Linked DNA regions of Pelodiscus sinensis. The protein of the gene in region 1 purifies or fractionates together with the protein of each later gene. This does not show direct contact. Links are inferred from orthologs where the notes say so. Each region holds a gene or a part of one and is shown on either strand. Other genes may lie near its edges. The genes, in order: IFT57, IFT46, IFT22 and TRAF3IP1.

Region 1 (7,019 bases):
TTAACAAAGTAATAGAAATCGAGGGACTCATGAGAACCTCGGTATAAGTATCTCATTAAATAAAACTATTTAACCAATGTGTGTTTTATAACATGTTTCCCATAACAGGACAGCAGTTTCAGTTAGGCAAAACTGTAACTCTGAATATTTAACTCTCTTTACTAGATAAGTCTCAAACTCCTGGCTCATGAGCCATCCCCCTTCAGAGTGATTGCACAATCATCCAGTGTGCTCCACTTCTCCATGGCTCCTGATGCTCTGGGGAGTGCGGGGGCTTATTGACCGCTGCTGCCACACCACACCCGGCTCCCTCTGTGATTCCCAAAACTGTGTCCTTGGGAATAGAGTGCCATGGGAAGAAAGGGCAAAGGTGATGGTGGGAAGGGGTGCAGTTTGGGGAGTGGTAACGTACAGGTCTTGGGTGGAGTGTGCAATTGCTCCAGCTGGGTATGACTTGTGGGCTGGAAATTTGAGACCCCTGCTTTATAAGCTTTGACCTAAATTTTACCAGTCTAAATCTCATGTAAGTCACTGGTTGTAGTGGAGTAACTCTGTATTCTTACCAGTGAAAATAAGAGTACACTTTGTCTCTATAAACCTTCTGGTTTCACAATGAAGATAAGGCATTTCAGCTGATCATTACTTCTTTAAGATTGTAACCTGGTAACAGCTGGTTAAAGTATGCATAAGGCTTATGAGCATTAGAAGCATTCAAAGCTTTACAAATTAAGTAAGCCAAACTTGGAAAGTTGTAGATATCCAAAGCAGTATATTAAGCCAGATTACTTTTGTTGTACAAAAAAACCCCACACACAACTACAGTGTATATATATTTAAAATCCTCCACTAGCTTCAAAGAGACCAAACCCTACATCTCCTCTATTTTGATAGCCCAAACACTGGATCCATTTTACATGTTAGAAGCCTCTTTATATATACTGGCCCTGTATTTCAAAAACAGCATGGAAAAAGGGCAACATGATCCTGCTATCAGCGTTTCAGAACCAAGTAATTTTGTTCTACAGTGATAGATCCTTTGTTATTTCAGAATGATCAGAAATCAGCATGTATGTAGCAACTGAGCAGAAGTAGTCAAAAGTTGAGCTGTCTTCTGGGATCCTGTAATATGTTCACTTTGTCCTACTTCCTTTGGCACATTTTTTCCCCAAAAAAGCGGTGTAGGCCAACATTGTAATCTTTCTCCTTTAATAAAAAGTCAGAAATGGCTTAGAATTCAGTATGAGTACTAGCAACTTTTGCCAGTATAGTAACCTTGCTGAAGGGTGTAATTTTTAAAATTTTTATTTTAGTTTGACATTTCTGAACCAGCAAATGCCCTAGCAGAAGCACTTACACTGGCAGAAAACAGCTTTTGCCACTGTATTTAAACTAGCAGAAACTGTACCAGCAAAAGCACTTTTTGCCACTATAAACTGCATCTACACTTAGGAGGGTTCAGCCACCATAACAGCAAAACTTAAGTCAAACGGACCTTAAAGCCAGGTACTCTCATTTATGATTCATATGATATATAGTATAATTGATAAAAAGAATGAACACTGAATTACACACTCCATTTCCCCTCTATTTTCCCACCCCACTGTAGCATTCCACATTCTAGCAGGGTGTCTGTGTGGCCTCCACTTTTTTCATGCCAGGGGCTTCTTCCCCTCACCTTCCTTTCTTATTGACTCAGTTTGGTGAATTTCTGCAGCTGACGAGCGAGACAGTCTGGCAATATGCGATACACACTATTGTAGTTATATAGCAATTTGCGTAGCTTTTTCTGAAAAAAGGCTCTAGTGTAGACATAGCTAAATTCTTGGGAAGCAAGACACAGTGCTGAAAGATGTTCCAAAGGTAGGTTCCACAGCAGCAATAGCAGCTACCTATGTAGCCCTTCAGTGTCATCTGTGGAGACAGTGGGCCACCCAGCTTACAACAAAGCAGCAGCTCTATAAAAACATGGTTGTACCAGCTGTATTGTGGATGTTAAGAGTGACAGCTTCACATTTCTGATTCTTCTTGTCTTTGCCAGCTGTTTCATATTAAGTAGCAAGCCAAGGGCAGCCACCAAAGTATTAGTAGATGAGTAGAACAGTTTCCACCATCAGCATTAATTCTGTTTCAATGACATTATTAGGAAGATCAAAAAATTACAGAACACTTTTACTCTTATCTGTAATGATCCTTATCTGCTTCTTTTAACTATCCAATTTTTCGGTGCTTATAGATTACCAGTTTTGTCTGTTTGGTTTTCCCTTTGATATTTACATACCCCCTCTGCTTCTTGTTTCCTGCCCCCTTCCATTTTTTTCCTTCCCCCCTGTCATTTCTCCCCTATTTATTTTGGGTCTGGACATCTTAAACTCATAATTCTGGCCATCTGAAGAAGTGAACTGTGCCCACGAAAGCTCGTGATACCATCTTCATGTTTTGTTAGTCTATAAAGTGCTACCAGTCTATTCTTTTTTAAGTTTATCCTGTACAGACTAACCTGGCTACCCCCTGAAACTTTTATTACAGAATGCCACCACACAGGTGAGGGAGGGTTATATCTTGTATTTATTGCCCTCTAATATCTTGGGATAGACACAGCTACAACTATAGGGCATACAACAAAGGAAGGCATCAAATTTAATGATCTGAAGTGAAAACAAAAAGACACAGAAACAAGTCCAATAAAAGATATTATCTCACTCATATTGTCTCTCCATTATGTCTATATTAGAAACAGGATCAACAATCCACTACAACTCTTCTTAATGACTGTCTGATATTTTGATTCACATTAGTTTTGAAAAGTTTAGGCAAGACAAACTTAATGGTATAAAATTTAAAAAATCAGATCCTGTATTAAAGTTTAGATAGAAAGACCTATGAGCCTGAGTTCAATCAACAAACTAAATCATAAGAAACACATGGACATGTACTAAAGGAATAAGTAGAACAATAAGGTAACAAGGCATTTTAGTTTTGAAAGTACCCTTTAAGAAGTCAAACATATAGTTACATTACTGACCAAATACATCTATTCTTATAGTGGCACAATTCACATTTCAGTCTCTTTAATCATCTCTGTATTTTTGTTTTTCTTAAGCGTTTGGTCTAAATTGCAAAAATATACTCACAACAAATGAAATCAGTGTTTCAAGTGGCAGCACACAGTCAGCTGTTCAGAAATTAAATGTACGTTTATCTGTAAGGAGTAAACATTCCTTTGAGGTCAAAAGTCTCTTGAGCAATGCAATAAAACGTAAGGCGGAAAGGTGTGTGACTCTTACAGTTACCTAATGAATTCCTGTCACCTGAATGATACGGGGCACCGGAGAAATCTGATCTCACTAAGTGTTTCTATACAGCTGGGGTTGGGTCTGCTGCCAGCCTGAGACAGACACAAGGTAAAATGAACAGAGGGGGAAATGTATCCTTCGGAGCAAGTGGAAGCCACCTGGATGCCCAAATCTCAGCACGCCCCTCTTCTTGAGACTGCAGTGCAGGAGAGCCTGGAGACAGGCAGGGGGAGGTGCAAAGGCAACTTTCACTGGGACAACTTCTGCGGGTGAAAGGAAGGGGCAGAGCCAGCTCCCCGCCGCACAAAGCCTGCAAACCTCGCAGCGAGCCCGAGCCGGCTGCCCTCCCACGTCAGCCAGGCACAGGGCGGGCTGCGGGTGACCCAGCGCATGGCTGGACAGTCCCCTGAGAGGGGGCCGTGCCGCTCTACGCCAGCCCCGCCCGCCAGGGAGAGGGAGGCAGGCGGGGTTGGAGTAGAGCGGTTTCCTCCAATCATCTCTCGGCTCTGCCTTAGCTCCGCCCCCCCTCATCGGCAGCGAAGAAGTTTCCCCTGCCCCGCCCAAGAAGAGGGAGGGGGAGACAGAGAGAGCAGCGTCCACCCGGAAGAGCATCCCTGCTGCCTTCGCGCGCTAAGGTGTCCCTCGAGAACCCTCGAGCGGAAGTGCCACTCTAAAGGCGCCACCTGAAGGAGGAGGGGGTGGGGGGGGGGGGGGGTGCTGCGCATTCCGGCGCGGAGAGGTGATTGGATGAGTGAGCAGGGAACCCGGGAGGTGATTGGAGGAGCGGAACCAACAGCGCGGCCTGAGCCACAGCGGGGAAGTGATTGGTGGCTCGGAGTTGCGGGGGGCGGAGTTTGTTGCCCCGGAGACGCCGCGGCTGGGCTGGGGCCTGGGGTCTGCGTGCAGATGGAGGAGGAGGCCGGCGGTGCCCGCCGCGGCGGGGAGGAGCAGGAGGCGGCGGAGCGGGGCCCGGGCGCGGCCTATCACATGTTCGTGATGATGGAGGATCTGCTGGAGAAGCTGAAGCTGCTGAACTACGAGGAGGAGGCGCTGCGGCTCCACCACTTGCGGCCCCTCTCCAGGTGACCCCTGACCCCGGCCGCTGACCCCTGACCCCGCTGCCGGCACGCGCCCTCTGACCTGGGACCGTTGTCAGCGGCCCTGCCACGCGCGGGCGAGGGTCCGTGGACGGGGCCCCAGGAGGGCTCAGGGTGGGACGGGCGCGGGAGGGGCCTTTTGCTCCCCCGGCCCTTGGGCAGCTCCCAGCGCTGAGGCCTAGTTCACACTCCTGCTTTACAGCGCTGTCACTTGATGCGCTGGGGGGGGGGGGTCTGGGGGGGGGGGCTTTGCACCCCTGAACCAGTAAATTACAGGGTTGTAAAGTGCCAGTGCAGAATGTTTGCGCTGCATAGTGTATGCATGGGCCAGGGAACTGCATGTGGGACCAGGGCTTGCTTGTGAGTGAGTAGGTAGCACACACCCCTCTCTCCCTCCCCGTCCCTACCCCCCATCTCTGCCCACATTGGTGGAGCATTGATCTGTCTTTGAAACCTGGGCTTCTGGTGTACAGGTGGGGATCTTAGGGTCTCTATTCACCAGAGAATTTGTCTGTTCTGTGTCCTTCTGTGGCAGTCTTCTTCGCCTGCCAACATGTCCAGCTGTGGGGTGTTCCCAGCTTTTTACAGTCCACGGGTCCAGTAATGGTGGAAGAACTCTTTTTGCTTGTGGCTTCACTGTGGCAGAACACACACAAGAGGTCTGTGAGATTAGTGACATTTCAGCATTGGCTTCTGTCCTTTGGAAGGTGACAGCAGCAGCTCTTAGAGGGTCCACCAAGGCACTTGCAACACATTTGATGCACTTGATGCTTCCAGCCAAAGCTATGGATTCTCTATATATAGAATCATATTTCGGGAGCAGGGCCACAAGCCCAGGCTTGTGGGATCACATTATTATGAAGACTTGGGAGACGATCAGTGGCTTCAGAAAATTTTACACGTGGAAGCAGACATTCATGAAGCTGTGTGAGAAGCTTTCCCTGACCATTCTGTGCTGGGATAAGCACATGAGTGAGGCCATATCATTGAAGAAATAGGTAGCTAGTTCCATCAGAAGCTGGCTACCTCACACTGCTACAGGTCTGTTACTAACCATTTTGGTGTTGGCATTTTGCTTGTGAGGATTGTGTCTTTAAAAATGGCCAAATCAGCTTAAATCTATAGCTGCTGAGCTAGATGGAACATCTGACAGTGGATGGTGCCATGTACTTCAGGGAATGAACAGAGTTTAGGGTATTTATCAAGTGATCCATTGCCAGCTTCTGGCAGTTAACATCCAAAACGTGGCATTGTACCATGACTGTCTTGTCTAATAGCCATTAATGGACCTGTCCTTGAACTTAGCTAACTCTTTTTTTTGAACCCAGCTGTGCTTTTGCCATCACAGCATCCCTTGGCAGTGAGTTCCACAGGTTGTGTGTGGATAGAAGAAGCACCTCCTTGTGTTTGTTTTAAATGTTCTGTCTGTTAATGTCATTGCATGATCCCTGGTTATTGTAGTATCTGACTATGGAAATGACACCTTCCTGCTCAGTTTTTCCATGCCATTCACAGTTGTAGAAGTTTGTGTGAGAACTTATTACACCCACCTTTGGGTTAATCACAATTCTAATTTTACTGAAATAATTGCTGACTCTGAAGAAATCGATTTCCCACACAGAGCTAGGTCCATTGATGATACTCATATACCATAGTTCTTCCCAAGGAGCAAGTGAATGTCATCTGCATAGGGCACTATTTCATACTTATGCAGACCTTGGTCAACCACACAGGCAGATTCATGGACACCAGTGTGGAGTGTACTGGCAAAGTGCATTGTATTAGGGTGCTGAGGTGAACAGGCATTTACCCTTTTGGACAAACATGGGCTATTTCTCCAAGTGACGGGGTCTCTATGTCCAATAAGTTTAGGAGATTCTGCTTTTCTTGCCCGGGCTCATTAAATCATAGTTTAACTTAAGAGATGCTGGCAGTAGAAGATTGTTTCACACTTAGAATGATGATGGTGTGCACATTTGACAGACTCAGAGAAAGACTGTGCTGTCTGCAAAACCACTTGAATGCCGGTGTTGCTGATTCTGTCCATATCGTAGTAGCATGCTGCATATTGCACAACACCTGTAAGGCATCAGGAGAGCATTTTTACTTGGAGTAGACTGAAAATGCTGCTGGTTTGCAGGTCCAATACAGGCAACCATAAGCAGCACCAGTTATTATGGGGGCTGTATCCAGACAGGCAAAGGATTTCACACATGACTTCTATAATCTCATCCTAAGGTCACGGGTGACGGAAATAAGGGTATGTAATGCTGGTGAACTGTTATGTGCCTTGCATTTTATTGCTACTGCTATATTTTATGTGGGCTTTGCAGTATATTAAGGGCTTCCTGGAGGTTTTTTTGTGTACATGAAGTTCATTTTGGAGGTTTTTTAAAACAATTTTTAACTTTTATATCTAGGTCTAAAAGTTGGGGAAGGCACTTTGTTAGTTTGTGTTTGAAACCAGACTATGTTAACATGAACAAGACACTGTTTTAGAGCATGCCAGCAGCGTCCAGTGTTTAGCTGGAAGGCAATACACCCTTCTAATGTGCTCTTCTACTCCCTGTGGAAAAGTACTTAGATGCAAGTCACAGATCAGAGGCTGCTTGGGTAAACATAAGCTGCT
Region 2 (7,067 bases), on another chromosome or scaffold:
CAATGTAATGATAAAACAATTACTTCCCTTGAGGCAGGCTAGCCTGCATGCTAGACATCTGTACTCTCTTTCAGACAATTGCATTCTGTCTTTGTCCAGCACAATGCTTTGAGTATATTAATGGGTCCACTAATATCCCTGCCTTCTGTTACTGCTAGTTTATCATACTAAGTCTGAGTTTTTGCCAGGCTACCTGGCTACGCTCTATGCTACCTCAAAATGTTCATGAGCAGGTATTTGTAGGCAGGAAACTTAACAGGCATACTTGAAATTAAGAATTCTCCCTGTGTCAATGAACACTTCAGAATCTTGCTTAGGAATCCAAGTTTTAAGTTTTCTAAGAACAATTCTATCTATGAACAATGCATCTTTACTGATGCATGTCAAATCCCAGTGACACTCGTCCTGTCCACACGGTCAATGGCATTCCCTCTACCCTACCCTCCCCCCTTAATATAGCTATATCGTTGTATCTTCATTTTTCAGGGCTGATACTCTGAAAACTTACTGTGCCATTGCATCTGTATATTATCTGTCTCAGCTTTTAAACCCCTTATCCCACACTGTCTAATCTAAAGACACATCTGCACAGTACTGTCAGAATATAACATTACTCATTTGGCCTGTTAGGATGGAACAGGTCTCTCTCATAAGGGAGATCTTGACTTTAATTCCAGTGGTTCCTCTAACTGTTCTTATAAATTGAGAGTCCTTCATACCCCTCCAAAGGGGCTCCATGCTCCTCTTCATCATCGTCATCGTCCGAGTCAGTTTCAGACGAATCATCCTCATCCTCTCCATCCTCGTTCTCACTAAATCCTCGCTGTGGGGCCAGTTGAGCTACCTTCTTTTCCTAGGTCATGTTAAAACCAAAGTTATGGTGCAACAGACGTTCCCAACAGCCCCATTTCCCAGCTCTGCCATTTTTCATTCTAAACAGAAAAACACCCTCTGTTCAAAGTTTGCCACATACGGGTGGCACTGCTGTGTGAAAAAGAAACTTCCTTGGGTGGTATGGAAAAGGAATGCCAGCACAGACAATTAATCTAGGGTTACTACTGCTCTTAGTCTGACCCAAATGCATGGGTTTCAGCAATGGGGCGGGGGGGGAGGAATATTTAGTTCTAACAAACAAGAATTTATCTTTTTTAGAGAATCTCAAAATGGTTTATAAACAGTACTCAGCCCTTTCCAAGGCAGTAAGTACTATGATCCCACTTTACAGCCAGAGAAACTGAAATAGATAGGAGAAAACTGGCTCACGCAAAGCCACACAACTGATTAGTACAGAGCTGGACATAGAACTCAGGAGTCCTGACCTATAGTCAGTGTATGTTCTCTAAACTGTAAAAAACACTCCCTACGTTTCCAGCCAAACGTGGGTGTAAGCTATTGATCTCTGACAACCCTCTTTTTATCCCACTTCAGCCACTGAACAACAGTGGGCCTGGTAAAAGCAACAAGGAGTCCTGTAGCACCTTATAGACTAACAGATGTATTGGAGCATAAGCTTTTGTGGGCAAAGACCCACTTCGTCAGTGGGCCTGGTATTCATTATATCCACACTGGATGGTATCAGCTACCATGATGTGAAAATTCCCTTCTAGACCGATTCTCCCAAATTCATATACATTGTTCCATCTGTTTTACTTGAAGAAAAAAGAAATCTGACCCCCTCCTTACCTTCTATTTCTAGTACAAATAATGTGTCTTGCCAAAAAGTACTGCAATTACATTTCTTTCTACTCAAAATGGGTCTTAAAAATAATCACAAAACATTAAGAAATTTCCCCAGTAGGACTCAACATACAGATAACAAGTCCCAGGTAGATGGGGGCTACAAAATGCTGTGATCAACTACATCAGCAAAGAAGAACATGGACAACCTCATACCTTGTTTATTTCTTCATCATACTCATCACTGCTGTTATCAGCCATGTTTTTGAGCTGTGAGCATGTGGACCTAGGACCTGCTGAAGAGATCATCAAGAAGGTTTCTGTATATATGCTACCCAAGCTTGGTTGTGAGATTGCAGCTTGGATTATCACATTGAGGCACCTATCTACACAGGCCCTACACTGAAGTTCTAACAGTCATGTTTACTCAATTGCAGCATGAGGCTGAACTAGACTAGACTGCAGCTGGGCTAGCCACGGTGGAAAAGCCCAAATCCCTATTCCACCAACCACGTGCACGCCTAGGTTTGTGACAATTGTCCTTACCGCATCTAGTCTCTCAAGCTTCTTTTTCACCCCCAGGGAACACCTTTGGTATTTAAAACGCGTGTTCTGCTTTACCCCCACAGCACCGTGCGTCCAGCGAATCCCAACGAGCCTGCTCCCCTCCAGTTTTGAGGAACTGAGTTTTCATCCCCTGGGGGAGGCTAAGACGCTGTAGCAGCGAGGCTCAAGCTGCCCGTCGGCATTTAGGGCGGGAGCGGAGGCGGCGGCGGCGGCGGCGAGGGAGGGAGGGAGCGGAGGCGGCGGCCCTACCTCGCTGCCGTGGAGTTGGGGTGTAGACACTGGCCACCTCTTCGGAGTCGTTGATCTCCAGGCTCTCGTCGTAGGGCTGGTTTTCCACTATTTTGGTCTAGTGACAAAGACAAGCGCGTCCGGGTCACTGTCGCTGCCGACTGCAAAGCGCCGGGAGCGGCCTGGGGCTGCCCGGCGGGTGCTCGGGCCTTTCGGGACCCAGAGCACCCGGGCAGCGCCGCCCCCTGCTACGGTTTCAACCCCCGCCCCCAGTCACCTGCAGGGCCTCCGCCATGTCCCGGCTTTCAGGGCCCTGCCCGAGGCCGGGCCTCCATCACCCCCTGTGTCCCGTCACCCTGGAAACTGGCTCTCGCGAGAGTTGCCGCCCCAGCTCTACGGCGGCCGGATCGAGTCACGTCCATGCGTCTCCTCTCCTGTGGAAAGGGGAGGGCGTCGCGCAGCGGCCCCTAGCGGCCGGGCCGCGTCACTGCAAGGAAAGAATGACAGGTGCGCGGGGCTGTCGGAGCGCGGGCTGGAACGCGCAGTCTGGGGGGGGGTGTTTCTGCTTCTCACCTGCGTGCGGGCCCCGCCCCTGCTCGCGCGCGCATGGGCCTCCCCAGCAAGGGGCGGGGTCTCCGGGGCTCAGAGCACCGCACCCACGCGGCGCGGCGGGCGGGGGAGGAGCGAGGTGCTCCCGCCCCCGTGCGTGGCGGCGCTTCCGGCTGGGGACGTGGCTCGGCGCCGCCATCTTGTGGGGCCGCGGGAGGGAGACGCGGCGGCCGCTGCTGAGGCCGCGGGAGACTGAGCGCGCCGGGCCGCAGTCACGCTCCGCCGCCATGGTAAGCGCCGGGCCGCGCTCCCGCCCGGCCTCTTCGTGCCCCTGCCTGGCGCCTTGCCGCGGCGGCCGCTCGCCCCAGGCCTCGGGCCGCCCGCCGGCGTGTGGCTCTCGGGGCCTCGCGTGGGCCTGCCCCGCTGTGGGGGCCTCTCCGCGGGCAGCCGGCGATGCCGGTTCCGGGCAGGTCCCGGGCCTGGCCTGGGACACCTCTGCCGCCCTGCCAAGCGGCCAGCCCCCTGCGGCGGAGAGAGGCTTGTGGCACCTCGCCGCTCCCGGGCTTGGTCACACGGCCGTGTGGACGGGTCTGAGTCTAACCTGACCGCTGGACATGGGCTGGGTAGATCCATGTGTAAGATCACAGCAGTACACACAGTTGGCTAAAACCTGTCTACAAACGTGTGAGAATACTGTAGTTCAACGTACTTTATTGCTAATGGTATTAACGTGCATAACCCTGTTGTGCAGATATTATCTTAAGTTTACGTTGGCAAAACTTGAGGTGCACAGCAGTTAAGTGGTCTTCCCGAAAATTACATGAATCAATAATATATCTGGGAAAATAATCCAGTTGTCCTCATGATCTTGTGACCTCAGACCTTGTGACCCTGCATTTGTGGGGGGTTTTAAATCTAGTCCAAGTACATTTACTTTGCTTGTCCAGTTGAAAGAGCCTTACTTTCAGAGATTGATTACTTCACACTGTCTGAATATCAGGTTCCTTTAAGTCATGTCAAGTGGGCATGAAAAATTGCTTACTAATCCTACAGTTTAATATTGGTCCAGAGTTTGTATAAACAGGTCAATACATCTATATGATCTATATATCAGCTTGGAACGATACAAATATATACATATATATAGCTTCATGTAGGGGATTTAAACGTGTATCAGTTGTATTCTGTTTTTTATGAACTCACATTGTAGCTCTTTGTATTGCAAAGAGGCTAGATTGGCTCCTAATTGCAGTAAATTACATTTGACTCTTTGTAGTAACAGGCTTGTACCCAACTTCAAGCATGTGGTTTTTGTGGCCAAGGATAGTATAATTTGCTTACATTTCTTGATAAATTAGTAAATGAGTGTTAAACAGCTTCATACCCTGTTAGAGGTGGAGAAACAACTTTGATTAGAGAAAAGACCTGTTAAATGATATAGAGGAAAATGTTACACATCATAGAGCTGGAAGAGACCTTAGGAGGTCATCAAGGCCAGCCCCCTGCTTTAGGCAGGACCAATCCCCACTATATCAACCCAGCCAGGGCTTTGTCAAGCTGAGACTTAAAAACCTCCATGGATGGAGATTCCACCACCTCCCTAGGTAACCCATTCCAGTGCTTCACCACCCTCCTAGTCAAACAGTTTTTCCTAATATCCAACCTAGACCTTTCACACTGTCATGACAGTATAGCAAGCAAAGTGCAGTGTGGGATAATTTGCACACAAGGACAGATTAATTTAAAAGAGCATGTACCTTTTGGGGTTGTTCCTTTGAATAATTGTTCTTCTTTCCAGCTAGTTTTGTGGTCTTTGAATTTACTGGGATAAATATTTGAACTGTGTTTTAAAAAAAAAAAGAGAGATAATTTGACTCTTTTCTTAGTAAGCATAATGCATCAAAATCAAGTGCTATATAACTTTGTTTCAGTTTCAGATTTGTACATAATATCAAATTCTTTCTATTCAAATATCCTGTGGTGTTTGAGGATTAGTTTGATATAATTCTTAACTATTCACATTTCACAGCTCCTTTAATGAGGAATTGCTTTGCTATAACCTTTTATTACTGGGAGAATATGTAATTTAATTTAGTGAGGCTAAGAACAATGTACATAAGAATGGCCATACTGGGTCAGACCATAGAGACCAGTCTTGTGTCTTCCAACAGTGGCCAATGTCAGGTGCCACAGAGGGAATGAACGGAAGAGGCAATCATCAAGTGAAAACCCTCCTCTTTCACCCATTCCCAGTCTCTGACAAACAGAGACTAGGGACACCATTCCTACCATCCTGGCTAATAAGCATTGATGGACTTACCCTTCATGAATTTATATAGCTTTTTTTAATCCCTGGTAAAGTCCTGGTCTTCACAACCTCCTCTGGCAAGGAGTTTCACAGGTTGACCATGTGTTGCCTGAAGAAATACTGTCTTTTTTGTTTTAAACCTCTTGGCCTTTAAAACAAATTCCAAACCAAGAATACCTAATTTAATTTTTGTCCCCTGTGAAAAAGAATCAAAATATTTGCAATGCAGCATAAGATATTAAGTATCTTTAACATGGCGTATCTCTTGCTTTCCCAAGGTAGTCTCAAGAAATTATGGCAGGTTGAAAATTCTTACTTTTTTAATGTGGGGTGTTTGTAATGTGCTCTCCCCACCCAGAAAGTACTATCTCCTAAGTAACAAAATTGTGAATTAATAAATGGAGCCAACCTTTTAAAACCTAGTTAAATATTGAGGTGTTAGACTTGCAATGTTAGTTAAATCTAATCAAATAAATCCGAACAATTAAATCTGATGTTTGTTTATATATTTGTTTTTAAGTTACAAGATATGCAAGCTGCCATATGCAATTGTTCAGCATAGCTGTACAAAGAGTGAGGACTTTCTTGAAATTCTTGATCTAGTGACCTTAGATTGTGCAGATCACTGGGACATTTTATATGTTAAAACAGTATTTTTATACTCTAGATCCTTGCAAAGTGGAGACTAAGGATGTGTTAACTTTTCTGAGTCTCCCGTATTGACGCACTAATCAGTACTAACAGGCCAATGTCCAAAGCCTGAAAAAAGTCCACTGTGACTGAACAGTGGAATATGCTCAAACCTGACATACATGCTTTTGGGTTGTCAGTGACTGGGATGAAGCAATGACACATCATCAGTATTTGCTTCCTAAGTGGTAATGCTTGACTCAGAGAGACAGTGTCAAAGGAATTGCGGTACATTATAAGCATACAGTAATCTGTGACCGCTTCCTTAGGTGAACTTACATTAATTGTTTATACAAATTAAAGGCTTTTAAAGAATATGAAGGCTTTCTTCTTTAGTAGAACCTCTGAATTTTGTGTGTGTTTACTGCCTCATTCAAGTGGTAATCAGACTCAGCCATCCTAGGGTAGTTGAAGGCTGTAAGTCAGGGCTACTCAACTGTGGAAGCCCCGGGGGCCACAATGATGAGCACATGCCGATGGCCACAACCTAAGTGTGGTTGCATATACATGCAAATATATATGCAATTATATTCAAATTACTTTTCACATTGACAGGCATGAATACAGAGATTAAGACAAGCCTATGCAACACACAGGCCCAATTTAAGTCAGTTCTGCTAATATTAATACAATGCAATATTTACCTGCTTTCCACCCATCTCACAGCACTTTGAATGAGTAATGACAGTCAAGGAATTTAACTACTAAAACGCATATGAACAGAAGACCGTTACCTTACATTAGTCCAACTCCGAGAGCAATGCAAGCCCATGATATGCACAGGTTAGAAATGAGTCTCAGGTTCCCACCATTGCCTAATTGGAATACAGCATATCACTAGGCAGTCCAGAAGCCCTAAGCATACTTACTACATCATCCACAGGGGCACTTTTGTACAATGGACTGGCAGGCTTTGTGGAGATGTCATCTCCCATCAGATGAGCCAGAGGATTGTGAATGGAAAGCAAGGACAGGACTTCCAGGACTGTAATAGTGAAAAGCTTACAGCAGGGCTACTCAACATGTGGCTCACGGTGTGGTTTGGGTT
Region 3 (7,531 bases), on another chromosome or scaffold:
GGGGGAGGGGGGAAAACAAGATGGGGTTCGTGTCTGGCTACAGTGGGCCTGTTCACATTAGAACCCATTATATCGTGTTTCTCTTTGTGCACTACTAGACATTGCAATGGTTACATTTGCTGGCTCATAAGTGCAAAATGGTTTCTCCTTTGGTCACTTCTGTCTTTTCTCTGAATGCAAGTGGATCTGGCATGTGGCATATAGTCTTGCAGCAGAAGGGACTGATTACAAATTGACCTAATTAGGTGCACAATTGGAATTAGGTAGCTGTGTGTTTCTAACAGTGTAAAATAAATCCCAGTTTGCTAAAACAGAATCAAATATGCGTTCGATGCTAAATGCAGCTGGCTTTCTTACATTACCTTTGTCTCTCATAACTTGCCCTGGAAACAATGGATTATTTCTGATCCTTTAAATGTGGCAAAAATGACACCTAGGCTCCTGGGACACTAAACAAACCTATTACATAAATCTGCAGGCTGATGGAAACACTGTATCCTCTCAGTGGGAACAAAACAATCCTGTTTCACATTTATCAGTAGCACTAATAAATATTTATATTATGATAGCACCTAAAGGTCCTATTTGAAAGCTTGTCTTAAAACGTTACTGTACCTGGGCACTAAACAACTCTGAAGCAACCCATCTGGTTGCCAGATGTTTGTACCTATATGCTGAGCCTTTAAAACTCTTCCAGCTCCCTCAGCAAAGCCTTAATAAGAAACTTACAGGATTTGTCTCTTCAATGCTCATGCTGGTGACTTGAGGAAATTCTGTCATTAGTATCACAAGATCCATGTGTTCTGGAAACTACACCAGAGAATGGCATTTCTCACACAAAATCTATACATTTTAGGTATACATATGGCCCAGATAGGTAGAAATTGAGTTATTCTCGATCTTTTAATATATTTCTCCTCATGGAAGCTCCGCTAGCCTCACTTCTACAGTGGACTAGACTAAGATTCACAAAGATGTTCAGGGTCTTAATTTCCTTTACTTTCAGTGGAAGTTAGGAACCTAAATACCATTATGGATTTGGTCCTAAATGATTAGTGCACAGTTACAAGGGAAGTCTGTGGCAAAGCAGGAAACTCTGAGGCCCTCCCTTGTGCCCTTACATCACTGACCTATCAATTCAGTTTGTGGATAGAGCCTAGCTCTATAAAGCCAGGAAAACACTGAATAACAATTTCCCTGACCTCTTCATGAGGCCCAGAGAGCCACAAATGTGCTCCAAAATAGCTGCACAGGTTGTATTCATAGAGTCATAGAATCATAGGGCTGGAAGAGACCTCAGGAGGTCATCAAGTCCAACACCCTGCCCAAAGCAGGACCAGTCCCAACTAAATCAACCCAGCCACGGCTTTGTCAAGCCAACACTTAAAAAACTCTAGGGATGAAGATTCCACCACCTACCTAGGTAACCCATTTCAGTGCTTCACCACCCTCCTAGTGAAATAGTTTTGCTAATATCCAACCTAGACCTCCCCACTGTAACTTGAGACCATTGCTCCTTGTTCTGCCATCCATCACCACTGTGAACAGCCTCTCTCCATCCTCTTTGGAACCTTCAGGAAGTTAAAGGCTGCTATCAAATCCCCCCTCACTCTTCTCTCCTGGGGACTAAATAAACCCAAATCCCTCAGTCTCTCCTCATAGGTCATAAGAACGGCCATACTGGGTCAGACCAAAGGTCCATCTAGCCCAGTATCTTGTCTACCGACAGTGGCCAGCACCAGGTGCCCCAGAGAGGGTGGACCGCAGACAATGATCAAGCGATTTGTCTCCTGCCATCCCTCTCCAGCCTCTGACAAACAGAGGCCAGGGACACTATTTTATCCCCTGGCTAATAGCCTTTTATGGACCTAACCTCCATGAATGTATCCAGCTTCTCTTTAAACTCTATTATAGTCCTAGCCTTCACAGCCTCCTCTGGCAAGGAGTTCCACAGGTTGACAACACGCTGTGTGAAGAAGAACTTTCTTTTATTAGTTTTAAACCTGCTACCCATTAATTTCATTTGGTGTCCTCTAGTTCTTCTATTATGGGAACTAATAAATAACTTTTCTTTATCAGCCCTCTCCACACCACTCATGATTTTATAGACCTCTATCATATCCCCCCTCAGTCTCCTCTTTTCTAAACTGAAAAGTCCCAGTCTCTTTAGCCTCTCCTCATATGGGACCCGTTCCAAACCCCTAATCATTTTAGTTGCCCTTTTCTGAACCCTTTCCAAGGCCAAAATATCTTTTTTGAGGTGAGGAGACCACATCTGTACACAGTATTCAAGATGTGGGCATACCATAGTTTTATACAGGGGCAGTAAGATATTCTGGGTCTTATTTTCTATCCCTTTCCTAATAATTCCTACCATCCTATTTGCCTTTTTGACCGCTGCTGCACTCTGTGTGGAAGTTTTCAGAGAACTGTCCTCAATAACTCTAAGATCTCTTTCCTGAATTGTCGTAGCCAAATTAGCCCCCATCATACTGTACGTATAGTTGGGCTTATTTTTCCCGATGTGCATTACTTTACACTTATCCACATTAAATTTCATTTGCCATTTTGTTGCCCAATCACTCAGTTTGGTGAGATCTTCTTGGAGTCCCTCACAGTCTGCTTCTGTCTTGACTATCCTAAACAGTTTGGTATCATCTGCAAACTTTACTGCCTCAGTGCTTACTCCTTTCTCCAGATCATTTATGAATAAGTTGAAAAGGATTGGTCCCAGGTCATGTGCCTCAGCCCCCTAATCATTTTGGTTGCCTGCCGCTGGACCCTCTCCAATGTGTCCACATCCTTTCTATAGTGGGGGGCCCAGAACTAGACACGATACTCCAGATATGAGCTCACCAGAGCCGAATAAAGGGGAATAATCACTTCTTTAGACCTGCTGGCAATGCTCCTCCTAATGCACCCTAATATGCCATTAGCCTTTTTGGCTACAAGAGCACCCTGTTGACTCAGATCCAGCTTCTCATCCACTGTAATCCCAGGACCTTTTCTGACAAACTGCTGCTTAGCCATTCAGTCCCTAGCCTGTAACAATGCTTGGGGTTCTTCCATCCCAAGTGCAGGACTCTGCACTTGTCCTTGTTGAACCTCATCAGATTTCCTTTGGCCCCAGTCCTTTAATCTGTCTAGGTCACTCTGGAACCTATCCTTGCCCTCCAACATATCTATCTCTCCCCCAGCTTAGTGTCATCCATAAACTTGCTGAAGGTGCAATCCATCATCTCATCCAGGTTATTAATAAAGACATTGAACAAAACCAGCCCTAGACCAAATCCTTAGGGCACTCTGCTAGAAACCAACCGCCAATCTGACATTGAGCCATTAATCACTACCCGTTGGGCCCGACAGTCTAGCCATATTTCTATCCATCTTACAGTCCATTTATCCAATCCATACTTTCTTAACTTGCTGGCAAGAATATTATGGGAGACCGTATGAAAAGCTTTGCTAAAGTCAAGGGCTACATCTACATTGACAAGATTTTGCGCAAATACTTTTAACAGTTTTTTCATTAAAGTATTTGCGCAAGAGAGCATCTACACTGGCATGTGCCTTTGCGCAAGAGATGTGCTTTTGCGCAAAAGTATCCGTGCCAGCGTAGACACTCTCTTGTTCAAGAAAGCTCCGATGGCCATTTTAGCCATCGGGCTTTCTTGCGCAAGAAATTAATGTCGCTTGTCTACACTGGCCTCTTGTGCAAGAACAGTTGTGCAAGAGGGCTCATCCCTGAGCGGGAGCATCGGAGTATTTGCACAAGGAGCACTGATTTCCTACATTAGAACGTCAGTGTTCTTGCGCAAGTACTCACGGCCAGTGTAGACAGGCAGCATGTTTCTGCATAAAAGCAGTCGCTTTTGCGCAAAAGCATGCCAATGTAGACACAGCCAAGGTATATTGCATTCACTGCCTTCCCCATATCCACAGAGCCAGTTACTTCATCATAGAAGCTAATCAGGTTGGTCAGGCATGACGTGCCCTTAGTGAATCCATGTTGACTATTCCTGATCACTTTCCCCTCTTCCAAATGCTTCAAAATGGATTCCTTGAGGCTCCCCTCCATGATTTTTCTGGGGACTGAGGTGAGGCTGACTGGTCTGCAGTTCCCTGGACTGTCCTTCTTCCCTTTTTTTTAGATTGTATTTCACCCCTTTTGTTGCTCTGGTCCATACCCCTGCATGGGAGCTTTAGAGGGTGAAAAAAGTGTTTTGATTTTTGCTACACTCATTAAAAAATCTTTTTTTCCCCTGTAGGTGTTTTTTTAACTGACTGAAGCTCAATGAGAATGGGACTCTGACTCCCAGCTAAGAGCGTTCAGCACAGGGACCAGCTTGTGCAACCCAGGGCCTTGCTGCAGTGCCAGCTCTGGGCGCGCGACCAGCGAGCGAGCCGGGCCCTGAGGGGCTGAGGGGAGGAGAAATGAGGGCGAGGGGGAGGGGCTAGACTGAGGGGGAGGGGACTGAACCTGGGCAAGGGGTCACGTGGAGCAGGAAGCTCCCTTGAGGCACGTGACGTCTCCTCCCTTCCCGCTCCGCTCCCCCTTCCGGCCACGCTCCGCTCCAATCGCAGGGCGGCTTCCCCCCGCCCTTGACAACGGCGCCGCGTTGCTAAGGTGCCGCCCGGCAACGCCGTCGGGCTCGGGGCTGCGCGGCCCGCGCCGGGATGCTGAAGGCCAAGATCCTGTTCGTGGGCCCCAGCGAGGTGAGTGCGGGGCGGGCGGCGGAGCGCAGGCCCCGTGGAGCCCCCCCCCCCGAACAGCCCCCATGGCCCCTTAGGGGCGGGGCTCGGCTCCTGAACCTCGTACGTGCCTGGGGGCTGCCCCCCCGTATCTGCCCCATGCGAATTGCCGCGCTGTCCCTCCCCACTCACACGCTCTTGGGCCTTGTCGATGTCTCGAGTGGCCCGATTGGGCGGGAAGGGCAGGGTCTGGTGTATGTCGCCCCCCCCCCCCAATGAACAGCCCAGCTGGGAGCCCCTCCCCCCAGTGTTATGGATCCCAGCCCACGAAGATCCTACGGGCTCCACCTCCTTGTGGCCATGATCCCATGGAAGTAGCCTCCTTCCCCCTCCAAACAGCAAAAACCAGGCTCCAAACTGCAAAGACCAGGGTAGGATATACACAGCCCCCCCCCCCCCCCGCCGCCCTTCCCTCTGAGCCCTACTGAATGACGTGTTAGTCACACACATGGCTTTTTGCTCCCATTTTTGGCAGTCTGGGAAGTCCGTCTTGGCAAATTTTGTGTCAGAGAGTACAGAAGGCATTAGCAGCTATGTCCCAACTCAAGGAGTGAGGTGAGCCCTGTACCATGCATACGGAAAGGAGACCCTTATTTGTGACCCCCCACCTCTTCCCCAGAGGAGGTCATGCTCTTCCTAGCATGGTCTTGTAGAATTTTATCATGCTATGAAACCACTTCTGTTTTTAGGATCCTTGAATATGAGAAGCCAAATGTGAATGGCAACAGTAAAGGGGCAGGGTGTCGATTTGAGCTCTGGGATTGTGGCGGTGATCAAAAGTAAGTGGGTTTCAAAGCTCATGTTATTTTAACAAGGTGGGTGAGGTAATATTTATTTGAGCGACACAAACTTACACAGAGCTCTTCTTCACTCAATGGCTGCGTCTAGACAGGCAAGTTTTAAAACTTGCCAGCTGTCTACACTAGCCACTTGAATTTGTGCAAGAACACTGACTATCTAATGTAAGATGGTCAGTGTTCTTGCGCAAATACTATGCTGCTCCCGTTCGGGAAAAAGCCCTCTTGCGCAAATGTATTTGCGCAAGAGGGCCAGTGTAGACAGCTAAAAACTGTTCTGCGCAAAAAAGCCCCGATGGCGAAAATGGCGATTGGCACAGCGATTTGCGCAAAAGCGTCCGTGCCAATCTAGATGCTCTTTTCCGCAAATACTTTTAACGGAAAATCTTTTCCGTTAAAAGCATTTGCGGAAAATCATGCCAGTCTAGATGCAGCCAACTTGTCTCCCTAATATCCTGGGATCAACACAGCTACAACAGCACTGCATATGAATTATTTTAACATGCATTTGTTCTGTTTCCATGGGATATAAATTCTCATATTTCAGGATATAAACCAAGTATTACCTGCCTAAAATGAGGAAGAAGCTTCCTATTTAAATAGATTATTCTATTATAAAGTTTTTTATATCTTCCTCTGAGACATCAGGCACTACGACACAAGATACTGGAGGAAGATGTACTATTTATCTGACTACATATGGCAGTTTCATTCTTGTAGCAGCTCGGAGCTATTAACACACGGAATATTATATCAGAGGAAAATGAATAAAAGGCCATCTATCTGTTAATGAATTAAGAGCATCAGCTTAAAAATCACACTTTTCTCTGAAGTCTCTCTTACTCACCATTGAGTAACAGAAAGCAGATAGAGGGAAATGTTTTGTTATATTTTCAGTTTGCTTGCTTTTGACCACTCTTTTTGAGGGATTAGGTTCAACAGCAGGGAATAAAAAGTACTTTGGGAAAAAAAGGAAAACTAAAACCACAAATTGTCAGGGGGGTTCAAGGACAGGTGTGGAATCTGAAACTATTTCTAACTCATTCTCTAAACTGTTACAAGATCAAGTTGGCAGTGACCTTTTAAGAGCTTAAGGAGTTCCAGGTGCATTGGGGGATCCATGTAGGATTAGGACCTAGATGACTAGGGGATCTTAATCCCTTAAATTGATCCACCTGACCATATGCTTATGCCTGTTGAAGTCAGTAGGGTTCTGTTTCAGCTGGTCCATTTGTAGGACTAGGACCACTCCACAAGTCAGCTCTTCAGGAGAAGGTGCTGGCCATCTGTCATGATCATGAGAGATGGCCAGCAGCCTGGGGATTAAGGGGTTAACTATACCTAACTCAGGTAGAGTTGACCAATAGGAATGTAGGTAGGAATTTCAACCTGGGACAAAGGAATTTTTGTTTTTCCCTCTCCTTTTTCCCTTGGCAGTTCCCTCCAGCTACTGAAGGAGACAGACATGTCTCTCTCTCTCCAATAAACAATTCTTCACTCTTCTGTAAGTAGGGTAAAGTTTAGATAAAGCCGTTAGGTTTTATTGTTTTATGGTTTGGGAAATAGGATCTGATGTCTGTGTACTTTTAAAAAATGTTTTGGTTTCCCTTTGTAACTAAGTTCTAGGCCCATGGTGGAGTTTCTTGATTGGCATGATTTTCCAGAAATGCTTTTAACGGAAAAGTTTTTTGTTAAAAGTATTTTCGGAACAGAGCGTCTAGATTGGCACAGACGCTTTTCCACAAAAAAGCCCCGATCGCCATTTTCGCGATTGGGGCTTTTTTGCAGAAAACAAATCTGAGCTGTCTACACTGGCCCTTTTGCGCAAAAGCTTTGCGCAAAAGGGACTTTTGCCTGCACAGGAGCAGAATAGTATTTCCGCAAGAAGCACTGATTTCTTACAGTAGAAAGTCAGTGCTTTTGCGGAAATTCAAGCATGCAGTATAGACAGCTGGCAAGTTTTTCCGGAAAAGCAGCTGATT
Region 4 (7,431 bases), on another chromosome or scaffold:
CTTTCCGCACCTTGCCTCTCAATGAGGAGAGAACAGATTCAGAGAAAGACAATAGCTGGAGGCTTGTTGTAACATGTTCCTTCACTAGATATAATAGGAACCGCTTCTCCTGATTGTACAAGCAGATTTGTTTCATCTACACTCAATAGTTTACAAAGTCCATTTAATTTGAGTCAAGAGAATAAAACAAACAAGATTTTCTATTGACATTCAATGGTGTATACTTTTGACAACACAAAGGCTGGTTATCACAGTTTTGGTTTTATTCAGAGCTACCAAACGCTGATAAGGCAGCCAGAGTTGTATGAGGGGTCAGACTAGCCTCGTCTAGTCAATAGATTGAGCAGACAAATGTTAAAAGAGAAACAATAAGTTTTTAAATGCTTGCTACAGAAATGGAACATAAATGACCAAAAGGAACAGGAAGATGTTCAATATCTAATAGAAAACTGGAAAACTGAAAGGATGATCTAAACAGGTACTTTCATATCTGGAAAACAACCCAAAATGGCAACTTACACACTTTCTTGGTTTCTACCTAGAGCAAAAACAGTGGCAATAGTTTTTTTATCTTGGGGGGGGGGGGGGGAGGGGAGGAAAAATCAGCTTTGCTTGAAAGATTTATAGATCATAAGCTTTCATGGGCAAAGATCCACTTCGTCAGATGCATGTAGTAGAAATTCCAGAGGTGGGTATAAATAGGCACATGAAAAGAAGGGAGTACCAATCAAGAGGAAGGCCAGAGAGGTCAATTTAGTCAAGGAGGATGAGGCTCACTTCTAGCAGCTGATAAGGAGGAGAAACTGCTTTTGTAGTTGGCTAGACATTCAGTTTTTGTTCAATCCTAAATTGATAGTGTCAAATTTGCAAATGAATTGTAGTACTGCAGAAGTACAATTCATTTAGGGTCTGACCTCTCAGCGTCTGAAAGTTTGATAAAACAAATCTTCAGGCAGGAGCTGCCAAACAAATATGTTGAGTGTGTGCAGAGCCATAGTCTATGTTGTTTAAAATAATGGACTAAAAACCAAGTTCCATGCGGAATAGCAATCATAGAACCATAGGACTGGAAGGGACCTCGAGAGGTCATCGAGTCCAGCCCCCCGCCCTCAAGGCAGGACCAAGCTCCGTCTACACCCTCCCTGACAGATGTCTATCTAACCTGTTCTTAAATATCTCCAGAGAGGGAGATTCCACAACCTCCCTTGGCAATTTATTCCAATATTTGACCACCCTGACAGTTAGGAATTTTTTCCTAATGTCCAATCTAAACCTCCCTTGCTGCACTTTTAGCCCATTACTCCTTGTCCTGTCCTCAGAAACCAAGAGGAACACATTTTCTCCTTCCTCCTTGTGACACCCTTTTAGATATTTGAAAACCGTTATGTCCCCCCTTAATCTTCTTTTTTCCAAACTAAACAAGCCCAGTTCATGAAGCCTGGCTTCATAGGTCATGTTCTCTAGACCTTTAATCATTCTTGTCGCTCTTCCCTGTACCCTTTCCAATTTCTCCACATCTTTCTTGAAATGTGGCGCCCAGAACTGGACACAGTACTCCAGCTGAGGCCTAACTAATGCAGAGTAGAGCGGCAGAATGACTTCACGAGTTTTGCTTACAACACACCTGTTGATACAACCTAGAATCATATTTGCTTTTTTTGCAACAGCATCACACTGTTGACTCGTATTCAACTTGTGGTCCACTATGACCCCTAGATCCTTTTCCGCCGTGCTCCTTCCTAGACAGTCATTTCCCATCTTGAATGTATGGAACTGATTGTTCCTTCCTAAGTGGAGCACTTTGCATTTCTCTTTATTAAACTTCATCCTGTTTACCTCTGACCATTTCTCTAACTTGCTAAGGTCATTTTGAATTATGTCCCTATCCTCCAAAGAAGTTGCAACCCCACCCAGTTTGGTATCATCTGCAAACTTAATAAGCGTACTCTCTATCCCAATATCTACATCATTGATGAAGATATTGAACAGTACGGGTCCCAAAACAGACCCTTGAGGAACTCCACTTGTTATCCCTTTCCAGGAGGATTTAGTACCGTTAACAACAACTCTCTGACTACGGTTATCCAGCCAATTATGCACCCACCTTATCGTGGATCTATCTAAGTTATATTTGCCTAGTTTATCAATAAGAATATCGTGGACATCCATGTCTTCTGGGCAGTTTGACCCTTAAGGAGTAATAGTTATTTTTAAAATATTGAATATCAGCAGTTCACAAGAATGTTCCAAGAAAGTCTGTTCCCTAGCACATGCCAATTCTCTTCTAGTGCTACATTTTCTTGGAGCACTTGGCTTGGTTATGTCTCTCAATTTTGACTTGATTTTACTGTTCCTAGACATATCTATTTAGCTGTATTAAAATGCATTTGTCTGCTTAACAATCCAGATAACACTGTAGCAGTGACCTGTCCTTTTCATTATTGACCACTGCACCAATTCCACATTTTTTGCTTCCAGAAAATATCTCCTCTCTCCTTTGGAATGTTCCTGGAAACTGAATGGAAATACTTTGCTCAGCTGTGTACTCCACGGATAAGAAGTCTCTAGTCTTCATATTTCTCCCCTTTTCACAGATCCCACTGCTGACACCATGTCACAACTTCCTACCATAATGTGGTGAGATTGAATGGAGCTCCCACTCAGTGCAAGTTCTAGCCAGGGCACCTAAAATAGAGACCAAACCTCCTCTGTGTCATTAATGCAGGACACTTCCTTCAATTCCAAGTGCTTCTCTGTGGGCCCAGAGGGATGTCCATAGTCTGTGGGCTGTTTAGCCTTTGACTCTAGCTAAACCAATCCACCCTTTCTCAGCATACCAACTCGCCATCCAAATAAACAGTGAAGTTCACATTTAACAACCCCTGAGGACTCTCCCTCCCAGTCTCTCAGGCATCATAGATACTTCATGGAGAGCTAGTGGCAGAAGTCCAAATGAACCAGACCATTCCAAAATAAACACAGTTCCTCCCCAGCTTCTTCTTCCCACTCCTCTGGATTCCTAACAAGACTTCTTACAAAGTCCTTGGCTGTAGGAAAGTGTCAACACCTCCTCTTCCCAGGCTCCTCAGTTCCCCTGAGGCAGAGTTAGTCTGGGAATCTCGTCAATTTCAGATTGTCTCAAAGGGAGAGGAAAGAGGCAAACTACTTCCTTTGAGCTCTTTGTGCTGAAGTACCTTCTATCAGGTGTCCAGAGGCAAACTTGCCTGAACTAATGTGAATTTGTGCCTCTCTCCCCCACCCCCTAATTTGTTTCTGAAGCAGTTTGAGAGTCCTGATCAGTTAGTCTCACTCGGCCTCTCAGCTGTCCCCCAGCACTTGGACTTGAGTTTGTCTGAGGAAATACTAATGTTTGGGGAAAGGAAAGTTGGGAGGGATACCAGTCAACCTGTAACAATTCCTGCTTTAGTGCTGGGAGCTTGGGCTGATAAAGGTGTATAGGTATATGGGCTCAGCGAGTGCTCCACAGACTTTTGAAGAGTCTACATCTGCCTGCACTAGAAGCAGCTGGGGTTTGTGTCTCCTTGTCATCTCTGGGGTGCCTGAGCAGTGAGTCAGGGCTTGGGGTCAGGGTCTGGGAAGACAGATAGCTGAGACCCAGACTTGCCCACCATGGGAAAGCTCAAGGTTTTGCCCTTCTGTCACGTGGGACTCATGCTGACCACAGAGCTTCCAGTTTGGCATGAAATCATTAGCTTAGTGGGAAGTGCAGAGAGCCCGCAAGAGACCTGCTGGAATGGGAGCCAGGCCAGCTCGGGCCTCTGGGGAGAGAGAACTTGGGGTGGCCCTTGGGCAGGGACAGACTCAGCCCACAGGCACCATAGGTACAGCCAGGTGAGGTGTATACCCCTGTGGGGAGATGAAGGGTGGCAGGGAGCTGCTGGGCCCAAGTGTGCCCCACAGGCATCCCTATTGCCCCATACGCAGCCCTGTGCCCCAATTGCCCCACAGGCATCCCTATTGCTCCACGGGCAGCCCTGTGCCCCAATTGCCCCACAGGCAGCCCTATTGCCCCATAGGCAGCCCTGTGCCCCAATTGCCCCACAGGCATCCCTATTGCCCCATAGGCAGCCCTGTGCCCCAATTGCCCCACGGGCAGCCCTATTGCCCCACGGGCAGCCCTGTGCCCCAATTGCCCCACGGGCAGCCCTGTGCCCCAATTGCCCCACAGGCATCCCTATTGCCCCATAGGCAGCCCTGTGCCCCAATTGCCCCGTGGACGCCCCTGTGCTCCAAGAGCATCCCTATTTGCCCCCGCCCCGCGCGCCAGCTCTGCCGCCCGGACGCCCGGCCAGGGAGCGCGGCAGCGCCATTGGCTCCTGCGCGGCGGGGCGGGGCCGGGGGCGGGGCCGAAGCAGGCGCCTTCGGCCCGTTGCTAGGGCCGCGGTGGGCAGCGAGCGGCCGGGGCGCTGCGCCTGCGCACGGCGGGGGCGAGGTGCATGCCGGGAGGGCGCAGCCGGAGCCGGCCCGGCCGGTGCCGCCATGGACGGGGCCGTGGTGCGGCGCACTCAGGAGTCGCTGGGGCGCGTGATCCGCAAACCGCCGCTCACCGAGCGCCTGCTCAGCAAGCCGCCCTTCCGCTACCTGCACGACGTCATCGGCGAGGTGGGGGCGCCGCGCGGCCGGTTGCTAGGCGGGGCCCGGGGGTGGGGGGCTGAGGGGCGGGGCTCGAAGGGTTCTGGGGGGCTCTGGTAGGGCGGGGCTCCCTAGGGGGCGCTGGGGGGCTCTTGAGGGCGGGGCTCCCCAGGGGTGCTGTGGGCTCTGTGGGGCAGACCTCAGGGGGTGCTGGGGGGCTCTGGTAGGGCGGGGCTCCCCAGGGGTGCTGTGGGCTCTGTGGGGCAGACCTCAGGGGGTGCTGGGGGGCTCTGGTAGGGCGGGGCTCCCCAGGGGTGCTGGGGGTTCTGTGGGGCAGACCTCAGGGGGGTGCTGGGGGGCTCTGGTAGGGCGGGGCTCCTCAGGGGGGTGCTGGGGGGCTCTGGTAGGGCGGGGCTCCCCAGGGGTGCTGGGGGTTCTGGGGGGCGGGGCTCAGGGAGTGCTGTGGGCTCTGGGGGGCAGAGCTTAGGGGGTGCTGGGGGATTCTGGTAGGGCGGGGTTCTCTGGGGGCACTGTGGGCGGGGCTCGGGGTGCTGGGGGACTCTGGAGGGCAGAGCTCCCCAGGGGGTTGGACGCAGGACCCCACTGGCCTGGGACCTTGGTGAGCCCCCCCCCCCCCCCCCCGTGGTGCCCTCCCATCTGCCTGGAGGAGGGCGTGCAGCAGTAGGGGGAGGGGTAGCTATTTACCTACCTACCAGCAGCTAGGGATGTGAATGGGTAACTGGTTACCTGGTGAGCATCACCCTTATGCTTCTGCTGCCACTTCCCCTTCCCTCAGGGGTGCAGGAGCAGAAGCTGGCTCCCCTGAGCACAGAGGGGACAGAACCCTGAGTTGGAGGGTGGGCACATGCAGGAGCAGGAGCCCATTTGTTTGGTTAAACCAGAGGTGTAACTAATTAACAGATTACCTGGGATTTTACATCCTGACCAGCAACCCTTCTATTGCTTTGGTTTCTCTCTCACTCTTTTGCCTTTTCCAATGTGTGAAATGGAGGCAAGAATTTTTGCTCCTCTTAAATAAAAAACAACACCCACCCCCATCTCCCAAACCTTACAGCTGCAGGTGAAAGATATTACCAAAGTAGAAAACATTTGTGGTCGTTAGTACTACAGTAGGTGCTTGTTTACAGCAACACCTTATAAAAGCAACCACTGCTTATGAACATTTCTCGTGGGAATGCTTTCCCCACCCACCATGACCTGGCAGCAAGCCCTAGAATTGCAATAGGTGTTTAGAAGCTAAGTAGCAAAAGGCGCCCCTGTGTGGCTACTAATGAACATCTACTATAGAATAAAAGGTGAGCACTCCTACACTCTGAAAGATATTCACAAAGCTTATCCTTTTTTGCCTTCTTTTAGTCAAAGGAAGGTCAAAATGGATTATTCATTAGAAGATGTTAAATTCCCTGAACTCAAGTATGTGCATGTCTATTAAGAAATCAGCCACCACGTGTTAGGCAGTAACAGAATACATCGGGACTGTCGTTAAAGTATATGGCCTTTGGGTGTATTAACTGTAATTTTCTGCGTAAAACAAAAAGGCTTCATCTACACTGCAGGCTATTCTTGCACAAAAACTTGCAGAGCGTCTATGCTGCACGCGCGTTCTTGCGCAAGTAAATTTACAGTACAGCGTTGGAAAACACGGCTTCTTCCAGAAGAGTTATTCCTCTTCCCATGAGGAATAAGCCCTCTTGCGCAAGAGCTCTTCCACAAGAAGGCAGTGTAGACAGGCAATAGCGGTTTCTTGTGCAAGAAAGCCCTATGGCTAAAATGGCCATCAGAGCTTTCTTGCACAAGAGAGCATCCACACTGCCATGGACACTCTTGCGCAAAAGCACATCTCTTCCACAAAAGCACATGGCAGTATGGACACACTCTTGTAGAAGACCTTTTGCACAAGAACTCTTGTGTAAAACAGTTCTTGCACAAGAAGTCTGCAGTGTAGACGTAGCCTTTAAAGTGAATCTTCTGTACTGCAGAGATATAATGATTCAAAGGAAGGAGACTTTAAAAAAAAAAAAGAGCAAGCTTCAAATGACTTATTGAAACCCATGACAGAAGAGATCATTGCAATAGAAAGGATCTTTAAAACTGCACCACCAAAATAGTTCAGCATGAAATAGCATCCCTCCAAGTGATTGCAGAAAGTTTGTAAAAGATGGGGTTTTTTGGAAGCTTTCTAGTTTTTTTTTTTATTATTATTAATTTACTGTGTTTGCTTTGAAGGTAATTAGAGTGACTGGTTTTATGAACGGGCTTTACACAGACTTTGAGATGAAATCTGATAATGTGAAGGTGGGTTTGAAATTTCCTTATTTAATGTTGGAATTCTTTATAACTGGTCACTAGCTATTGCCACTTTGTTTCACTGAATTCTATTTACTATGATAAACCTACACTCATCTGAAGCTAATGCCCAGGAATATGCTTAAATGCTGCCTTTTTAAAAGTGTGGTGGTGGTGGTGTGTTGTGGTTGTGCATAGGCAAATAACTCTAACTTTTTGTGTATTGTTTACTTACATAAAAAACGTTGAGATTTTTACAGAATCTGTTGGTGTTGTTTGATATCTTGAGAACTGTTTATTAAACACCTTTTGTGCATATTCTTACCAAGTTAGGTGCTTGTACATGGAGCGGTAAAGTGAATGAGTTTTCATGTCTGGGTGTCTGAGTAATGAAGTGGAGCTCTGGGCCCTTTGGAAAGATTGTCATGTGCAGGAGCTCTGTAATGGACTGTCAATGTCATGAGCTGCATAAAAAGCTCCAACACTTGTGTTAGTAGTTAACAGGTATTTTATTGTTTGCAGAAGTGTACT

Evidence for each region.
Region 2: the proteins of IFT57 (region 1) and IFT46 purify together in Homo sapiens (affinity purification with mass spectrometry; 3 studies listed by BioGRID and IntAct, counting the BioPlex papers as one, with this or other methods). This does not show direct contact. The link is inferred for Pelodiscus sinensis from reciprocal best matches to the Homo sapiens genes IFT57 and IFT46.
Region 3: the proteins of IFT57 (region 1) and IFT22 purify together in Homo sapiens (affinity purification with mass spectrometry; 3 studies listed by BioGRID and IntAct, counting the BioPlex papers as one, with this or other methods). This does not show direct contact. The link is inferred for Pelodiscus sinensis from reciprocal best matches to the Homo sapiens genes IFT57 and IFT22.
Region 4: the proteins of IFT57 (region 1) and TRAF3IP1 purify together in Homo sapiens (affinity purification with mass spectrometry; 3 studies listed by BioGRID and IntAct, counting the BioPlex papers as one, with this or other methods). This does not show direct contact. The link is inferred for Pelodiscus sinensis from reciprocal best matches to the Homo sapiens genes IFT57 and TRAF3IP1.

The regions. Positions count from the first base shown.
Region 1 is NC_134711.1:154,984,245-154,991,263, reverse strand, and holds the start of IFT57 (intraflagellar transport protein 57 homolog), read left to right. Parts: upstream 1-4,001; 5' UTR 4,002-4,040; coding exon 4,041-4,375; intron 4,376-4,683; exon of another isoform or gene 4,684-4,993; coding exon of another isoform or gene 4,994-5,049; intron 5,050-7,019. UniProt on the Homo sapiens protein: Required for the formation of cilia. Plays an indirect role in sonic hedgehog signaling, cilia being required for all activity of the hedgehog pathway.
Region 2 is NC_134736.1:860,847-867,913, reverse strand, and holds the start of IFT46 (intraflagellar transport protein 46 homolog), read right to left. Parts: upstream 3,017-7,067; 5' UTR 2,768-3,016; coding exon 2,750-2,767; intron 2,591-2,749; coding exon 2,494-2,590; intron 2,466-2,493; exon of another isoform or gene 2,224-2,465; intron 1,974-2,223; coding exon 1,894-1,973; intron 854-1,893; coding exon 720-853; intron 1-719. Other genes in the region: ARCN1 (coatomer subunit delta), read left to right, coding at 3,309-3,311. UniProt on the Homo sapiens protein: Forms part of a complex involved in intraflagellar transport (IFT), the bi-directional movement of particles required for the assembly, maintenance and functioning of primary cilia. May play a role in chondrocyte maturation and skeletogenesis.
Region 3 is NC_134731.1:26,092,817-26,100,347, reverse strand, and holds the start of IFT22 (intraflagellar transport protein 22 homolog), read left to right. Parts: upstream 1-4,531; 5' UTR 4,532-4,677; coding exon 4,678-4,716; intron 4,717-5,227; coding exon 5,228-5,307; intron 5,308-5,441; coding exon 5,442-5,531; intron 5,532-6,986; exon of another isoform or gene 6,987-7,053; intron 7,054-7,531. UniProt on the Homo sapiens protein: Small GTPase-like component of the intraflagellar transport (IFT) complex B.
Region 4 is NC_134717.1:64,455,907-64,463,337, reverse strand, and holds the start of TRAF3IP1 (TRAF3-interacting protein 1), read left to right. Parts: upstream 1-4,409; 5' UTR 4,410-4,500; coding exon 4,501-4,623; intron 4,624-6,840; coding exon 6,841-6,909; intron 6,910-7,431.